Canis lupus familiaris: one gene and its partner. The protein of the gene in region 2 interacts with the protein of the main gene of each other region in a pairwise test. Links are inferred from orthologs where the notes say so. Each region holds a gene or a part of one and is shown on either strand. Other genes may lie near its edges.

Region 1 (8,007 bases), on a different chromosome or scaffold from region 2:
TCTGGTTTTTGTTTTTGTTTTTTAATTTTTTTTTTAAATTTATTTACGATAGTCACACACACAGAGAGAGAGGCGAGACACAGGCAGAGGGAGAAGCAGGCTCCATGCACCGGGAGCCCAACGTGAGATTCGATCCCGGGTCTCCAGGTTCGCGCCCCCCGCCAAAGGCAGGCGCTAAACCGCTGCGCCATCCAGGGATCCCTCTGGCTTTTGTTTTTGATTTTTACTTACCATTATGTTTGAGCTTTATCCCTATTATAATATGTAGCAATATTTTGTGCATTCTCATCATTGTATATAAATTGTATTTTCACACTACAGACTATAACCCAATTTATATATGTATAATTTATAATTTACGAGTGAATATATAATCAATACAATTACTCCAATTAATGTAGTCTACATTGTTTTTGCATTTTTGTTTTAAAAACACTTTTTCAGCTCTTTTACTTTATTGTATTTTCCACTATATTGAGGTATAATTTTGACAAATAATAATCACCTACTGACAAGATAAATTGACAAATTGACAGAATTGTATCTGTTTAAGGTCTACAACTTGATGATTTGATATAGGCATACACTGTGAAATATTCACCACAATCAAGTAATTGACATATCCACTGTCTCACAAGGTTATGTTTCCTTCCTTCCTTCCTTCCTTCCTTCCTTCCTTCCTTCCTTCCTTCCTTCCTTCCTTCCTTCCTTCCTCCCTCCCTCCCTTCCTTCCTTTGTGAGAATACTTACCCCTTGGTGGGCATTTATGTTGTTTCCAGGTTTGTGCTATTCTGAGTGTCACTATAATATCACAGGCATTCCTTTTCAGGGAACACAGGCACCTATGTCTGTTGGGGGTGTGCTTCCTGGTAGGATAGCTTGGTATTGACTCTATTCCTGGGTACTGCAGACTTTTCCAAAGGGGTTCTACCAACTTCTGAGTTCTATTTCCATAACCTCAGAAGTTTCCTTTATATAGAATGTTTACACGATTTTCAAGTCTATTCTTAGGCATTTTACTTTTTGTTGTTATTTTTTAAATCACAAGTTATATCTAGTTGGCTATTGTTTTTATGTTAGTCAGTTTGTATGGTTTTTATTTAATTTTGCACTCATTAATTTATTTACTGCTCTTAATAGGAGCTTATTGTGATGTAGGAATGAGTCAGGGACAGATGGCACCTGGCAGGGAAAGATAACGGAATGGCCCAAAGTCAGGCTCCCATAGATCTGTAGGCTCCCATAAACCCCAAGGACACCAAAAGACCCAGAGTCAGGCTCCTACCCATCCCAAGGAAACAGAGATAAGTAAAAAAGTAAAAAAAAAAAAACAAAAAACAAAAAACAAAACAAAACAAACAAAAAAACCCCCCACACACACAGAGAGAAAGAGGGACGCCTGGGTGGCTCAGCAGTTGAGCATCTGCCTTTGGCTCAGGGAGTGATCCTGGAGTCCCAGGATGGAGTCCCACATGGGGCTTCCTGCATGGAGCATGCTTCTCCCTTTGCCTCTGCCTCTCTCTCTGTGCCTCTCATGAAGAAAGAAAGAAAGAAAGAAAGAAAGAAAGAAAGAAAGAAAGAAAGAAAGAAAGAAAGAAAGAAAGAAAGAAAGAAACCCAGCTCCCTAGCTCTAAAATGTTAGGGAGTATCCCCCTTTAGTGGCTACTAAGTAATCACAGAAACTCACCAAACCACAAAGAATATGTCATTAAGGTATTATCAATAGTCCCCTCTCACACCAAGACTGTACAAGAATCCCCAGGCCGTGGGCTCCCTGGCTAGGTTCTCAATAACAGATTGCCACTAAAAGCCCTCACTGGCAACCCTGTTGGGAGCCCTTTCACCTCTGAGAGCTTCCTCTGTATCTTTGCTTAATAAACTTCTATCGCTTTACTCACTCTCCGTTGTCTGCGCGATTCATTCTTCGACTCTGTGAGACAAGAACCTAGCTCTCACGTATCAATTGGTTTATTCATGTTTTTAAGATTTATTTATTTATTTGAGAGAAAGTGTGTGTATGAGCAGGGGGAGGGGCAAAGGGAGAGGGAGAGAAAATCTTAAGCAGACTCCCTGCTGAATGTGGGGCCTGATGGGGGGGCTTAATCCCAGGACCCTGAGATCATGACTTGATCTGAAATCAAGAGTTGGGTGCTTAACCAGCTGAGCCACCCAGGTGCCCTTTGGTTTATTCTCTTGATTTTCTCAGACATATAATCACAACCTTTAGAAATAATGATAATTTTACATCCACTTTATGTTTTTTATACATGCGATTTATTTGTTATTTCTGGTTTTAGTGTATATTTCCTCAAAACATTTAAAATAGTGTTAACATTTTAAACCTCCAGATCTCCATTAAACCTCCGAAATGCTTATCAAAATCTTTTGATTAACAGAACACCTTCCCTGAGGAGCCTTTCAGCTCTAGCTCTTCACAGCAGTTCCTGAGAAAAAAGATGGGATGAAGCATTCAAGTAACCAAAGGAAGTCCATCAAGGCGGGAGCAGAGGGGAGAAGAAAGAGGCTGGAATGAAGTGGTGAGAAAACAGTACAAAGTGACCATATCACCTGGGTCATCCAAAGCAGCCATGGTGGGGAGGAAAAGCTAAATAAATTGTGATGATCACAGACCCACTCAGAAAGGGTGATTTAATTTCAAGATCATGCTTCCCCCTCCCACTCCTACCACCACATTGACAGGGCCTCGGTATAAAAACAGTGAATTAAAGCCAAAAGAACAGCACTGCACAAACTCTATTTAAGAAGGGCTTCTTAGGGAAACCCACAGACAACAGAGAAACGAGACAACAGGAGCACTGAAGGAAACTATGGGAGCCTGACTTTGGGCCATTCCGTTATCTTTCCCTGCCAGGTGCCATCTGTCCCTGACTCATTCCTACATCACAATAAGCTCCTATTAAGAGCAGTAAATAAATTAATGAGTGCAAAATTAAATAAAAACCATACAAACTGACTAACATAAAAACAATAGCACCTACATCCATGGGAAACATGAACACAGCCCGACTCCTAGACAGATGGACATGAAACATCACACTACAGCCCTAGTTACCTCAGTTCCTAAACTCTGATAGATCACGTTCAGCTTGGCATGTCAACACAAGCTGTGCTAAGAGGCAAGAAGCACAGTCTGGAGGGGCACCTGGGTAGCTCAGTGGTTGAGTGTCTGCCTTCATCCCAGGTCGAGATCCCAGAGTCTTGGGATTGAGTCCTGCATGGGGCTCCCTGCAGGGAGCCTGCTTCTCCCTCTGCCTAGGTCTCTGCCTCTCTCTCTGTGTCTCTCATGAATAAAAAAATAATATCTTTTTAAAAAAAGCACAATCTGGAGACACAGAGCAAACTAGACTCAGCTATAAGTCAGATATTAGAATTGTCAGACGTGTGTGTACACACATATATAAAAAGATTTATTATAAAGAATTGGCTACAAGGTTTACTCTACAGGATGGGCTCAACTGTGGTTCAGCTGACAAGTCCCAAGGCCCCATAGTCCCAGAAAGAAAATGTGTAAAGGGAGTTGGAATTGAGGAGGGAGGAGGAGATGCCAGGCACCTGCCACTATGGTAAAGGCATGGGGTCTCTGTAGCAAGCAGGCAACTCGCAAAGAAGGGACATCTGTAAAAAATCATTCCCCTTGCACAGCATTTTCTAGAGAATCTGCTGCTTCTTTCTAAGCCTCTGAGATCTCAGTGTCCTAGTGCAGGATCAAAATCATAACAACACGGGTGTTCATGTTTTTCCTGTTTCTACTACCAAAGCCGCAGACAAAATGCAAACGGTGGCGAGTGTCTTCTGACGGAGGAGGGGCTGCCCTGGGTGTTCCTGTTCACTTCCTGACAGCTGCTCTCTCAAGGGCACTTCTCGGAGCTGAGCTTTCTGATCCCATTTTGCTGGAAAAAAAAAAACCAAACAAGCCATGTCCTTTATCTATTCCTACACCGTGGACACTTTCCTCCACCTCCTTCAGTCAAGGTCCTCAAAAGTCCACGATGCGTCGGCCCCAAAAGGAGAAACAAAGAATTCACAAGAGCATGTGGCCTCAGGAGACAGAGAACATCGCCATTCCTCCTGCCCAGCAGCTGACAGCGTGGTAAGTCCAAGTGTGTGGGGAAGTGTGTCTGTGTGTGTTGTTTGTGTGTGTGTGTCATGTACCTATGTTCCCGTGTGTGTTGTGTTTTTGTGTTTGTGTGAATATGTGTTGTGTTTGGGAGTGTATGGGTGGAGTGTGTGTAAAGGGTTTGTGTATATGGGTGTGTTTATGTATATCATGTGTTTGTGTGGATGTGTGTGTTGTGTATTTATGTTTCCATGTGTGTTATGTTTGTGTGTACGAATGTATGTGTGTTCATTATGTTTGTGCATATATTTGTGTGTTTATGTATTTGTATGTGTATGTGGTGTGTTTTGAGTGTATGTGTGTAAGTGGTATGTGTGACATGTTTGTGTGTATGTGTGTATGTTTGTGAGTGTTGGTGTTGGTGAGTCTATGGGTGTGTGTTGTGTTTGTGAGCCTGTGGGTGTGTTTGTGAGTGTATGTATGTTTGTGAGTGTGGGTGTTTGTGAGTCTGTGGGTGTATATGTTAGTGAGTGTGGGTGTTTGTGAGTCTGTGGGTATGTGTATATTTATGAGTGTGGGTGTTTGTGTGTGTGAGTCTATGGGTGTGTGTATGTTTGTGAGTGTGGGTGTTTATGAGTCTGTGAGTGTGTGTATGCTTATAAGTGTGGCTGTTAGTGAGTGTGGGTATTTGTGAGTCTGTGGGTATGTGTATGTTTGCGAGGGTGGGTGTTAATGAGTCTGTGAGTGTGTGTGTGAGTGTGGGTGTTTGTGAGTGTGTGGGTGTGTGTATGTTTGTGAGTATCTTTGTGGCTGTGTGGCTGTGGGTGTGTATGTTAGTGAGTGTGGGTATTTGTGACTGTGGGTATGTGTATGTTAGTGAGTGTGGGTGCTGGTGAGTCTGTGGGTGTATGTACGTTGGTGAATTGGTGGGTGTGTGTATGTTAGTGAGTGTGAGTGTTTGTGACTATGGGTGTTTGTGAGTCTATGGGTGTGTGTATGTTAGTGAGTGTGGGTGTTTGTGACTATGGGTGTTTGTGAGTCTGTGGGTGTGGGTATGTTTGTGAGTGTGGATGTTTGTGACTATGGGTGTTTGTGAGTCTATGGGTGTGTGTATGTTAGTGAATGTGGGTGTTGGTGAGTCTGTGGATGTTGGGGAGTCTGTGGGGTGTGTGTTAGTGAGGGTGGGTGTGGGGGAGTCTGTGCGTGTTGGTGAGTCTGTGTGTGTGTGTTAGTGAGTGTGGGTGTTGGGGAGTCTGTGGATATTGGGGAGTCTGTGGGGGGGTGTGTTAGTGAGTGTGGGTGTTGGGGAGCCTTTGGGAATGTGCTGTGCGTGTAGCGCATGCACGCGCGTCTACAGTGGAATAGAAAGAGCCGTGACTAGGAGGTCAGGAGAACCCTTGCCCTACGTGCCCTGCCGCGAAGTCACTGCTCAATTCTGGGCAAGACGCTTCTGCGAGCTGACCTTCCTGGGAAACATGAGATGACAGGCTGCTCGTGCTCATGCTGGAGGCAAAAACTGCCAAGTGTGGCAAACATGTGAGGTGCTGCTCAGGGCCGGCCGTGGGGCGAGGCGGCGCGGGGCGGGGTGCGCACTCCCTCGGGGTGCCCGGCTGCAGTGCCCGGTTCAGATTCTCTGCCCAGGTGCCTCCCCCGCCTTGCCCACCAGCCCTGCTCATACCTTCCAGGAAGCCTCGCTAGAGGAGCCACCAGATTTCCCTGGTGAAGCGCTGCCTCAGTTTCCACCGAGGGTGTAAGGGAGCCAGGGGCAAAGAGGGTGGGGGTCTCCAGGTGCAGAGATAGGAGCGCTAACCTCCTTGTTCCAGAAGCCCCTGGGAGAGGATCAATGCTGTGTCCTCACCAGAATGTTGCTGACCGGTCTGGGGGGAAGCTGTTCACCTGGGCCGGTCACTTTCTTGTCCTGGAAACTCCCAAGACTCACTGGCGGTGTCCACTCTGAGCCTGGGGCCTTGGAGCTGGCAGGGCTGCACACGGCTGACGGTCACGAGGAACGGCCTCAGCGGCCTCCCACCGGCCAGCTGCTGGGACCCGGGCAGCACCGAAGTCATCGCCAGGCCCACAGACCAGGCCCAGTAGCCTTTCGGGGCTGTCCTCATCCTAAATGACGGTGATGGGAGATGAGCTCTGAGGTCCCCTGGCTCCCAGCCAGACTCTGTCCCTGTTGTTCTCACACAGAACCCGGCCACCCACCTCTTGCCCTCTGCAACCCTCACCGCTGAGCCTTTCCCAAAGGTCAGGCATGGATCCCTCTTCTTGGTCCAAGACCCGCGTGTCCCCCCACCCCCACCCCCAGCCCAGCCAGCCTGTGGCTGCAACTTCCTGCCAGCGCCCTCCAGATCTTTCCACTGCTCTCAGGACCCAGTATCAGACCTGCCTCTGCTCTCTGCTCCTCCCTCTCCTCGCAAAGCATGTTGTTCCAGGTCCCTGTCTATAAAACGCCACCTGCTCCTCAGCCTGCCGCTGAGGCCATCCCCCTTTTTCTGTGAAGTCTCCTAAACAGACAGTAGAAACCACAGTGGTGGGGGGGCGGGGAGAGAGGAGGGGAAAGGAAGACAGAAAGGAAGTGGGAAATACCAGAAAGGGAGACAGAACGTAAAGACTGCTAACTCTGGGAAACGAACTAGGGGTGGTGGAAGGGGAGGAGGGCGGGGGGTGGGAGTGAATGGGTGACGGCACTGGGGGCTATTCTGTATGTTAGTAAATTGAACACCAATAAAAAATAAATTAAAAAAAAAAAAAGAAAGGAAGTAGAGACCCCTCGGGCCCCCTCCTCTTTCAGGCTGCTCCCCCTCAAACCAATGCTTCTGGCAAGAGAAAGGCAACGCCTCTCCGAACTCTGCTGAGAAACTAACAAGACGCATTATGGTTATCTCTAGCCGGAGGAAGAAGAATGCGAACATATTCTGGAGGAGGACCCTGCAGGAGAGCTGAATCTCGATCCTAGACCAGGCATTTTAGGAGGTAAACCACTTTCTAACAGGAATGAACTTGAGAGAGGTGCGGATGGCGGCATTCAATGTGTACGTGGGTGTGTAGGGACCGGCGGCAGGGCTCATCCTGGTCAGAGATTTGCCCACCTGGGCCGCCATCAAAGGGTCTTTGGGTGGGGGCCCTCCTCTACTCAGCCAAGTAAGAGGGAAAGGTCCCTGACAGGCAGACGAAGGGAGAGAGAGTGCCAGCCACCACCTTGACTAAATCTCTGTGCCAGGCCCAAGGGAAAGGGCCTGTGCCTTCTGGGATTTCGTCCTCAGGAAGGAGGTGCTGATGGTCAGTGTGACCAAATGACTTGCCCAGACCTCGTACAGGTGTCTGGATCCGATGGGAGAGCTCCTGGGGTCCTATGGGCTGCAGAGCACCACCGGCACAAGCAGGATATCCTAGGCCTGCACTTGGCCTTCTCAAGGGCTTCTGTCCCCCCAAAAGTTATGGCATCAGGGTCAGGAGCTGAGCTTCTGAGGGCTCAGTGTGGCCACTAACCTGGGGACACAGAATCTGGGACTGCTGGAAAATGAATGGATTTCATGGCAGCACTGTTCACAATGGTAAAAGGTGAAAACAACCCAAATGTTCATATATGTGTAGGAATAATCAAGAAGCGCCATATACCTACAATGGAGTATTATTCAGTCTTAAAAAGGTGGGAAATTCTGTGCTGGGCTGCAACATCCATGCCCTGGGAACCACTGTGCTAACTGAAATAAGGCCGACACAGAAAAACGAATGTAATTACAATTTGGAAAATGAAATAAAATAATTACAATTTGGGATGATGAAAACATTCTTGAGAGGCACCATGGAGATGATTGCACAACAGCGTGAATGTCCTGGGCGCCACTGAACTGCGCGCCTAAAACTGAGGACAGTGATAAGTTTGATGTTATACTATACTTTTTTATGCTATATAAATACCA
Region 2 (8,112 bases):
GAGACAAACCAGAAAACAGACTATATTATTATATAGAACAAACCGATGGTTACCAGAAGGCAGGTAGATGGGAGGATCGGTGAAATAGGTGAAGGGCAATGGGGGGCTGACACCAAACACTTATATAAGAGAGCGCTTATCTTGATGAGCCCTGAGTAATATATGGAATTGTTGGATCACTATGTTGTATGCCTGAAACTAATACACCACTGTATGTTAACTACACTGAACTAAAAATTTAAGAATAACCATTAAAATAAGATTCTGGAATCGATGGTTCTAGTGTTACCTCCTGAGTGCAGCTCTACACCAAGGAAAGAGGCATTTGCCTTCAAAGTTCCTTCTTTCAGTAGAAGGAAACACATACTGTGGCTAGTGTCAGCTTAGTCACTGCTGAGAACAAGGTGGTGATTCCTAAGAATTTAGGTGTGTGAAGTGCCTCCCCTGAGATGCCATGAGCTTTGCAAAAGTATTTAATAATAATGGATACTAATACTTACTCTTTGCTTCCATTATTTGAAGAAGCTAATCTTTGTGGTCTTATTTTGATTCTTTAAGAGGGAATTTTATTTTTATTTTTATTTTTTATTTTTTTTTGGAATTTTAGTTTTTAAAAATGCTAAAGGTCTGTGTATATTGTGTCATTGTCATATATTCATAACTGAGAACTGACTTCTCTGTTTCCATTTCCATAATTTTTTCATGTTTCATAAAATTTACTTTTTAAAAAAGATTTATTTATTTTAGAGAGAAGGAGAGCACGTGAGTGGCGGGGAGAGGCAGAGAGGGGGAAATAAGCAGACTCCCCTGCTAAGTGCGGAGCCTGACCCCAGGATGCTGAGCTCATGACCTGAGCCGGAACCGAGAGTCAGACACTATACCTACTGAGCCTCTTAGGTGCACCTTCATAGAATTTACTTTTAAGGACAAAGAGAGTTGTTCTCTTAAAACTACACATTTTGATCACGTTCTACTCCTTTCTAAAAGCTCCCATTCAGGGTATCTCGAATCAGTTCAGAACGCCTGAATGTTCACATCAAGGCTTTCCAGCATTTGTCTATATTGCTTCCCAGTTCCCTCTTCTAACCCCAGTCTTTGTGTCTATTAAGCGAAGTTTGTCCTTTGAAAAATGTACACTTCTCTCTGACACATAAGATTCACATTCTCTGTTTAGTCTTTTTTGATAAGCCTCGCTTGGTTTGGTGTCAGCCCCCATTGCCCTAACCATCCTTCAGCATTCAAGTGCAGGACCTCTCCAACATCTGAAATTTATTCTGCATATTTTATAAGTCTGTTAATATATAACTGCATACTTTAATTATCCTATTTTTTCTTCTGAGTCATCTTTTCAACTAGCCACCCCCTCAAGGAAGGCATTCGGTATCTTTAGAACATTCAATAAGCTAGTATAATGACCCCATAGGTAAAGAAGGTGATGCATATCATCAGGGCAGATCAGAGAATCCAATTAGAATGGTGAACTGGAAAAAGACATCAAAGAAGTAAGTAAAGATAGAAGACAGAAAAACACTGCACCTTACGAAGACCATCAGGTTACACTCCTGTAAGGGGTGACTTATGGGATCTTTCCACTTTGATTCCTCAGTGTTTAATTCTATTTGCAAAATAGGTATTTTCAGTTTTTTCATTCACTCTCTAGCTGATCTCATCAGTTCAATAGCTTTAAATACTTCTCTCTTGAATTTGAGACTCATAGATCTATTCACTTACTCCATATATCTTCATTTGGATGTGTCCCTTGGGCATCTCAGACTCAATAGAGCCAAAACCAAACCTTGATCCCCACCTCCCCAACTGGCTCCACTCTATTTCAGTAAATGGCAATTCCATCCTTCTAAAAACTCTGACTTTGACTTGTCCCTCACACTTCATATTCAATCTATCATCAAATTTTGTTGGTTGGCTCTACCTTCAAAATATATCTAGAATATAATTGCTTCCCACCATCCCCACAGACATTATCTTGGTCTAGGCCAACATCATCTTCCACTTGGATTATCACAATAGCTTCCTAATTGTTTTCCTGACTTCCATTCTCAAACCCTTAGAGTCTGTCTACAAAAAAGCTAGCCTGCTCAGTTCAAAAGGAAAGCCATACCATGTCACACCTCTGCTTAAAATCCTCTACTTCTCATTTCATTCTAAATAACATCCAAAGTTCTTCACATGAAATTCAAAACTCAACAGCTGGGCAGCCCGGGTGGCTCAGCGGTTTAATACTGCCTTCAGCCCAGGGCCTGATCCTGGAGACCTGGGATCGAGTCCCACGTCGGGCTCCCTGTGTGGAGCCTGCGACTCCCTCTGCCTGTGTTTCTGCCTCTCTCTCTCTCTGTCTCTCATGAATAAATAAATAATCTTAAAAAAAAAAAAAACTCAACAGCTTTGTTACACATATCTTTGATCTCATCTTCTAACATACCCCCCCTTGCTAATTCAGCTCCAGCCACAAGGGGTTCCTTCCTGTCCCTGATTATGCCAACCACTTTACCTGATTAGCATTACCCCACTGTCACTCGTCACCAACCCTGCTTTATTTTCTAAACAGCGCCTACCATTACCTGACATTTGTTGTCTTATCCCACTAGAAACTCCTTGACAGCTGAATGTTCTGTTCACTGCTTTTCCTCAACACCTAGAACAGTGCTCCTGTATGCAGCAGTAATAATTTCTAGGTATGAAATTCAAAGGGCTTTTCACTTCATTAAAAACAAGCAAGCAAACAAAAGCCTATTTTGGTTGCTCAGACAATCTTAAAATAACCAAAATGCTTCTAGAATGAAGCTAGATTCCACAGCATCCATCAGGAATTACAACTATGGGAAATGGTGAACGACAATATTCACACATGCAATCCTTTCAGATGCATCAGAATCATAAGCACATGACAAGGATCATGTGCCCAATTAAATGAATATTCTTGTTACATATTCACCAGCTAGTAAACAGATGTTGACCCAGAGCAGACTGTCCTGATGACTCTGCTAGGAAGAAAGAGGTGACATCACTGGAGAACTCAAGGCATATGCTCAGGCAGGTGACACACGTACGCACAGCCTAGACTGTGATTGCTGAACTCCATGCTGACTGCCAAAGAAATTTGTCTCATGACTCTCAGGGGAATTCTCTCAGCCAGACAGTCACCTCTAAGTCCTCTGTAGTTAAGGTTAAGGGGTCTCTTTGTGATCAGTGAGATGTTATGCTCCTCAAATGTCTATTTGTGATACATGTGCTTACATGTTTAGTCAAACGTTTATTTATTCATGAAAAAAGGAAGGAAATAGGGTTTTGTTTAAATTCCATTTCTAGGTCCAAGGCCACCTGTTTTGGCTGTCTCCAATACTGAACCCCCGGCTTGTCATCAGAACCTCTCCCCACACAGGCCCCTCAAATTAGCCACACCCTCCAACCTGTTACCACTCCAAACAATACTCCCCAAACTGTCAATGCGCTAAACAGATCTCCCCCACCCCGCCATTATCGACCATCAGAGACCCCTCGTCTGTCACTCATGCTCCAAAATTCCCGACACCGAGACTTCCCTCATGAAAAGCCCTCTGAGCGCCCTATCCTATCAGCCAGACCCCCAAACTCCTCTTCCCGTTACCAACGTCCGCCGAGACCCGGTTCCTGTTAGCAGTTCCCGACAGCATCCCCTTCCCCGTCACCGAAACCCCTCCAGGACTGCCGGGTGGCCAACGTCATCAGCCCCACTTCCTCGTAGCCTCGCCTCGCCCCGCCCCGCCTCGCCGCTCGCCCCGCCCCTTTGAATGTGGCCACGCCCCCTGGCGCGGCGTCCCGGCGAACTGCGCCGGAAGCCCCGCCCCCGGCCGGTTGCTAGGCTCCGGCAGCCGGAAGTCCCGCCTGCCGTGTAGTCGCCGCCGCCGCTGCTGCCGTCGTTGTTGTTGTGGTTGGTTCGCTGAGCTCCGCGGCTCCGAGAGCCGGCTGCATCCCTTCCCCGCCGTCGCCATGAAGTGGATGTTCAAGGAGGACCACTCGCTGGGTAAGGCTCCGTCAGAGGCCGGGTGGTGGGGGTCGCGGCGGCGGGTGGGCCCCCTCCCCCACTCGGGCCGCCCTGGGCTGGGCCGGGCGGGGCGGATGCCGAGCTGTGGCCTCGGGTCGCGGAGGCCCCGGCGCCCCCGCCGGCTGCCCACGGACGCTGTGCCGCCTTCTGCCCTCCTGCCGGGAGGCGGGGGCCGAGGACCGAGGCCGCCGAGACGCCGTAACAAGGACCCGGGCGTGCGCAGGTCGCTGGGGGAGGTGGGTCGGGGGCGCGGGAAGCGGCGGACGAGCAGGCGCGACCGGCAGCCCCGTCTGTTTCCCACAGAACACAGATGCGTGGAATCCGCGAAGATCCGAGCGAAATACCCCGACCGCGTTCCGGTGAGTGCACTCCCCGCCCCCTCACCTCGTCGTCACCCCGTCGTCTAGGACTCGCGATAGGGCCCCGGGCCACTCAGCAGTTGATAAGTTGAGGTTCCAGTCCCAGTTATAGGAGCAGACAAGCCAGACGGGGCTCGGGGCCTTGGGGGCCGTGGCGTGAGGGGCTTGAGCAGGTGCTGTTCAGGGTGCCTCAGTGCTGAATCTCCCGATCTAGGCCAGCGAGCTGTCTGCAGCCTCTGGGCTCCCTCGCCAATTATGTAAGGAACGATGTTCTAGGACAGGGCAACAGGTCACTGCCACTTTTGGGAACACTGGTGGAGGGAGACTGTCACTTTGGTCTTAGAAGTGGTACTTTAGTCTCAGGACACTCATCTTTAACTTTGAGCCTCTGTCTTTACTTGATTTCTAGCTCCCTTTCCTCACTCTGACCCTGTCATCCTTTGCTGACCAAAAAAAATCTGAGAAGCCTCTGAGAACTCCCTTCTTTCGTGGTTCCTCCTTAATCAGTAATAAAGATCCTGTTTCTTCCGTGGTAGGGGTAAAGTTTCTATAATTCTTACTGATTTTTAGAGGACATCCGTGTCTGTTATTGTAGCTCTTTGTTTGAACAAGCAAAACTCTGAGGAGGGGTTAGGAGGGACACATTTGAAACCTAGTTCAGGGAGAAGCAACAGGCCAAATGAGGAGCTTGGTTTACTCATTCCCATTAGTCCATCCATTCCTCTCCCCTTTGTTCCTTGGGATCTTACTTCCTCTGTAGTGTGAAGGCAGATTCATTCTGGAGTCTTGGAGTAACTGGCTGTAGATGAAACCAGGTATCTCAGGTCTGCCCAGACAAAATGTCGAAGAGCTTTGTAGTAAGGGCGTGTGTTTCTCTTATGCTCGCTGAGATGCAGGATGATAAACATAATTGACCACAGAAAAGCACTTTCTGTTTCCATATCATACATTTATGTCAGTTCTTAACCTCCAGAGTTAAGAGTTTGTGGTTTATTAAATCAGGGGCATATTTTCCAGTGTTGTGCAGTTTCCCACCCACCTCCTTGCCCACATAGTATTCATCAGCTCCCTGGCAATGCAAGGCCAGAGCCTCACTTTAGAAACCCAGTCCTGATCTCTCTTTGCTTTCCCAGGTGATTGTGGAAAAAGTCTCAGGCTCTCAGATTGTCGACATTGACAAACGGAAGTATTTGGTTCCATCTGACATCACTGTGGCTCAGTTCATGTGGATCATCAGGAAAAGGATCCAGCTTCCTTCTGAAAAGGCAATCTTCCTGTTTGTGGATAAGACAGTCCCACAGTCCAGGTGAGAAGTGTTTACTAGCATTGGCCACCTGCTTGGCTGCTTACAGAACTCTAAACTTTGGAGGTGAGAAAACTCTTAGAGGTCCTGACTGGAAATCTGGATGTTGTGCTCCCTGACATGAGGAGCTCAAGGAAAATAAGAAAGGGCTACAGTATCTGGGAATATACTTTGGGTTAAGAAAATAGAACAAGGTTGGACTTAAAAAAAAAAAAAAATCTAGCCTCAGACCCTGATGAATACTTTAAAACAGTTCAGGATTTACTTAGGCTTAAGCCATCACTAGAACCTAAATGAGCCTAAAATTAGGTTTTCTTTAAATGACCCATGAAATAAGTCCTGTCGTTCTCCACTAGGGGCTTGTGGGCCCTGCTGAGGCTCAGCTTCAGTTAATCATCCTCCTGCTTGCTCTCCAAACTTAGTTCTGTGCCACTGCGAGTGTGTAGCTGTCTGATCCTCAGGTATGCTGGAATGGCTGCTGTCCAGCAAAAGGCTCTGAGGTCTCTTTACAGACTTACACCCCCCCTCGTAGCACCTGCTCCGACTGTCAGAGTAACCGCCCCCCTTGCTCTAGCTGTTGTGCTGCCTAGAAGCATTCTTTGGCATAACTTGGGGCCCGAGTCTTCTGGGGCATTATAATTCTCTTCTTCTGTGTAGTTGACAGCCCAGCTTTAGTCCCTGGTGGAAAAAAGAAAATGGACTGGCTCCTTCAAAATTCCTGGTCAGTCCTTTGCCATTACTGGTTGAGTATTAGCCCTTGAGCCAGATGCTAGTCCCTCTCCCCCGAGTGTGAGTTCCTGGCTACATCTCATCTTGGAGACTCCAAGTAAGTCTCATTGGTTACTCCCCTAAAGGTAGTACTTCTGCAAGCTTAGGCTTTCAGAATCCCTGGAACTATCCCAGTTTGGCCAAAATATGTTCCCTTTGAAAATCCTTGAAAGCTCCAGAAAAGACCTAAGCCAAAATCTAGTCCCTTTCCTATGACAGATAGCTCTGGCTATTTTTTTATCTGATTTACTTTCCTAATCTCCACCACCTCCATTTCCTGTGTTTGGCAGAGAGGTTGGGGAAAAATGAAAGGTTCTTCAGTAAGGTCAGTGTCCAGCCTGAGGAGATCCGCCTGGCCTGCCTGCTAGGTGCTGTTGGTCTCCTATAGCTGTTGTTCAGGAAGCTGTGGTGTTGGCAGAGGCGGTCTTGACACCTGGTGGGGCTCTTCCAGCCTTCCTTCCCCGACCTCCAGGCAGCATGGTGCTGGGTTCATCAGGTTAGGAAGCCCTGGGCATCTGTAGTCGTAACTCAGCTTCTCTTAAGGTGGTGGAGAGGTGAATCTTCAGTCATCACACTGCTGATCACTTGACAGCAGCACACACAGAACTGCCACAGGGTCTCCTGCTAACTCCATCTCCTGCAGCTTCTGCAGAGTCTGGGTAACTCTGTGTTTCCTCCTTCCTGGCAGTGGCTTCTTAGGGAAGGAAGCAGGTGTCTAAGACCTGTGGCTTTGAATTTATTTGATCAATTCTTCTGATTTTTCTTTTCCTTTTCCTTTTTTTTTTTTTTTTTTAAGATTTTATTGATTTATTTATGAGAGACACAGAGAAGGCGGAGACATAGGCAGAGGGAGGAGCAGGCTCCTCGCAGGGAGCCCGATGTGGGACTCCATCCCGGAACTCTGGGATCATGGCCTCAGCCGAAGGCAGACGCTCAACCACTGAGCCACCTAGGCATCCCACTTTTGATGTTTCTTAAAGGAGATGTGCAGGCTTCTGGAGACACTGTTACTCTGATGGCCTCATGTTAATCTAGCAATTAAAATGGCTGCAGATTAGCAACTGCCCCCTCCCTCCATTATCCCTGAGATATAAATAGAATTGGAAATCAAAAGTAATTCTCAGGGCAGCAGAGGCTGCTTCCTTTTCTCTCCCAGTCCCATTTGCCTTTCCAGCCTGGTAAGAATCTGCCCTAAAGCAGATGACACCAGTGACCCCTGTCAGGATTTTAGAGAATCGCTAACCAGGCTTCCTCTGCCCGGGCCTTTGGCCCCAGTTAATGACTTTCTGTCCCCACACTTAATACAGCGATTTGGTTTTTTTAAGAAAATTTGTTTCTAAACAAAAGTGGTATATGACATCACTGGGCCTTATGCAAATACTGATCACTTGACAGCAGCACACACGGAACTGCCACAGGGTCTCCTGCTAAAGCTAATGTGTGACTCAGTCCTGCCATCTCCTCCCCAAGGCACGTTAACAGCAGCCTCTTCCTCAGCTCCTTCCAGCCTCCTTAGGAAGTGCGGGGCCTCAACCTTCCACCAGTGCTTGCAGCCTTCAGAAAGTGGCTGGGGAAATCAGAGTTGGAACGGATGAGTCCAGGCCTAAGGAGGCTTCTCCCATCCTATGACAGATTTGCGT

What was found.
Region 1: the proteins of GABARAPL2 (region 2) and GIMAP6 interact in a two-hybrid assay, tested with the Homo sapiens proteins (2 studies listed by BioGRID). The two-hybrid records come from large-scale screens. The link is inferred for Canis lupus familiaris from reciprocal best matches to the Homo sapiens genes GABARAPL2 and GIMAP6.

Annotation. Positions count from the first base shown.
Region 1 is NC_049237.1:15,574,375-15,582,381, reverse strand, and holds the start of GIMAP6 (GTPase IMAP family member 6), read left to right. Parts: upstream 1-3,726; 5' UTR 3,727-3,937; coding exon 3,938-4,111; intron 4,112-5,888; exon of another isoform or gene 5,889-6,303; intron 6,304-6,309; exon of another isoform or gene 6,310-6,410; intron 6,411-6,466; exon of another isoform or gene 6,467-6,615; intron 6,616-6,972; coding exon 6,973-7,057; intron 7,058-8,007.
Region 2 is NC_049226.1:75,813,131-75,821,242, reverse strand, and holds the start of GABARAPL2 (gamma-aminobutyric acid receptor-associated protein-like 2), read left to right. Parts: upstream 1-3,372; 5' UTR 3,373-3,987; coding exon 3,988-4,021; intron 4,022-4,345; coding exon 4,346-4,401; intron 4,402-5,534; coding exon 5,535-5,707; intron 5,708-8,112. UniProt on the Homo sapiens protein: Ubiquitin-like modifier involved in intra-Golgi traffic. Modulates intra-Golgi transport through coupling between NSF activity and SNAREs activation. It first stimulates the ATPase activity of NSF which in turn stimulates the association with GOSR1.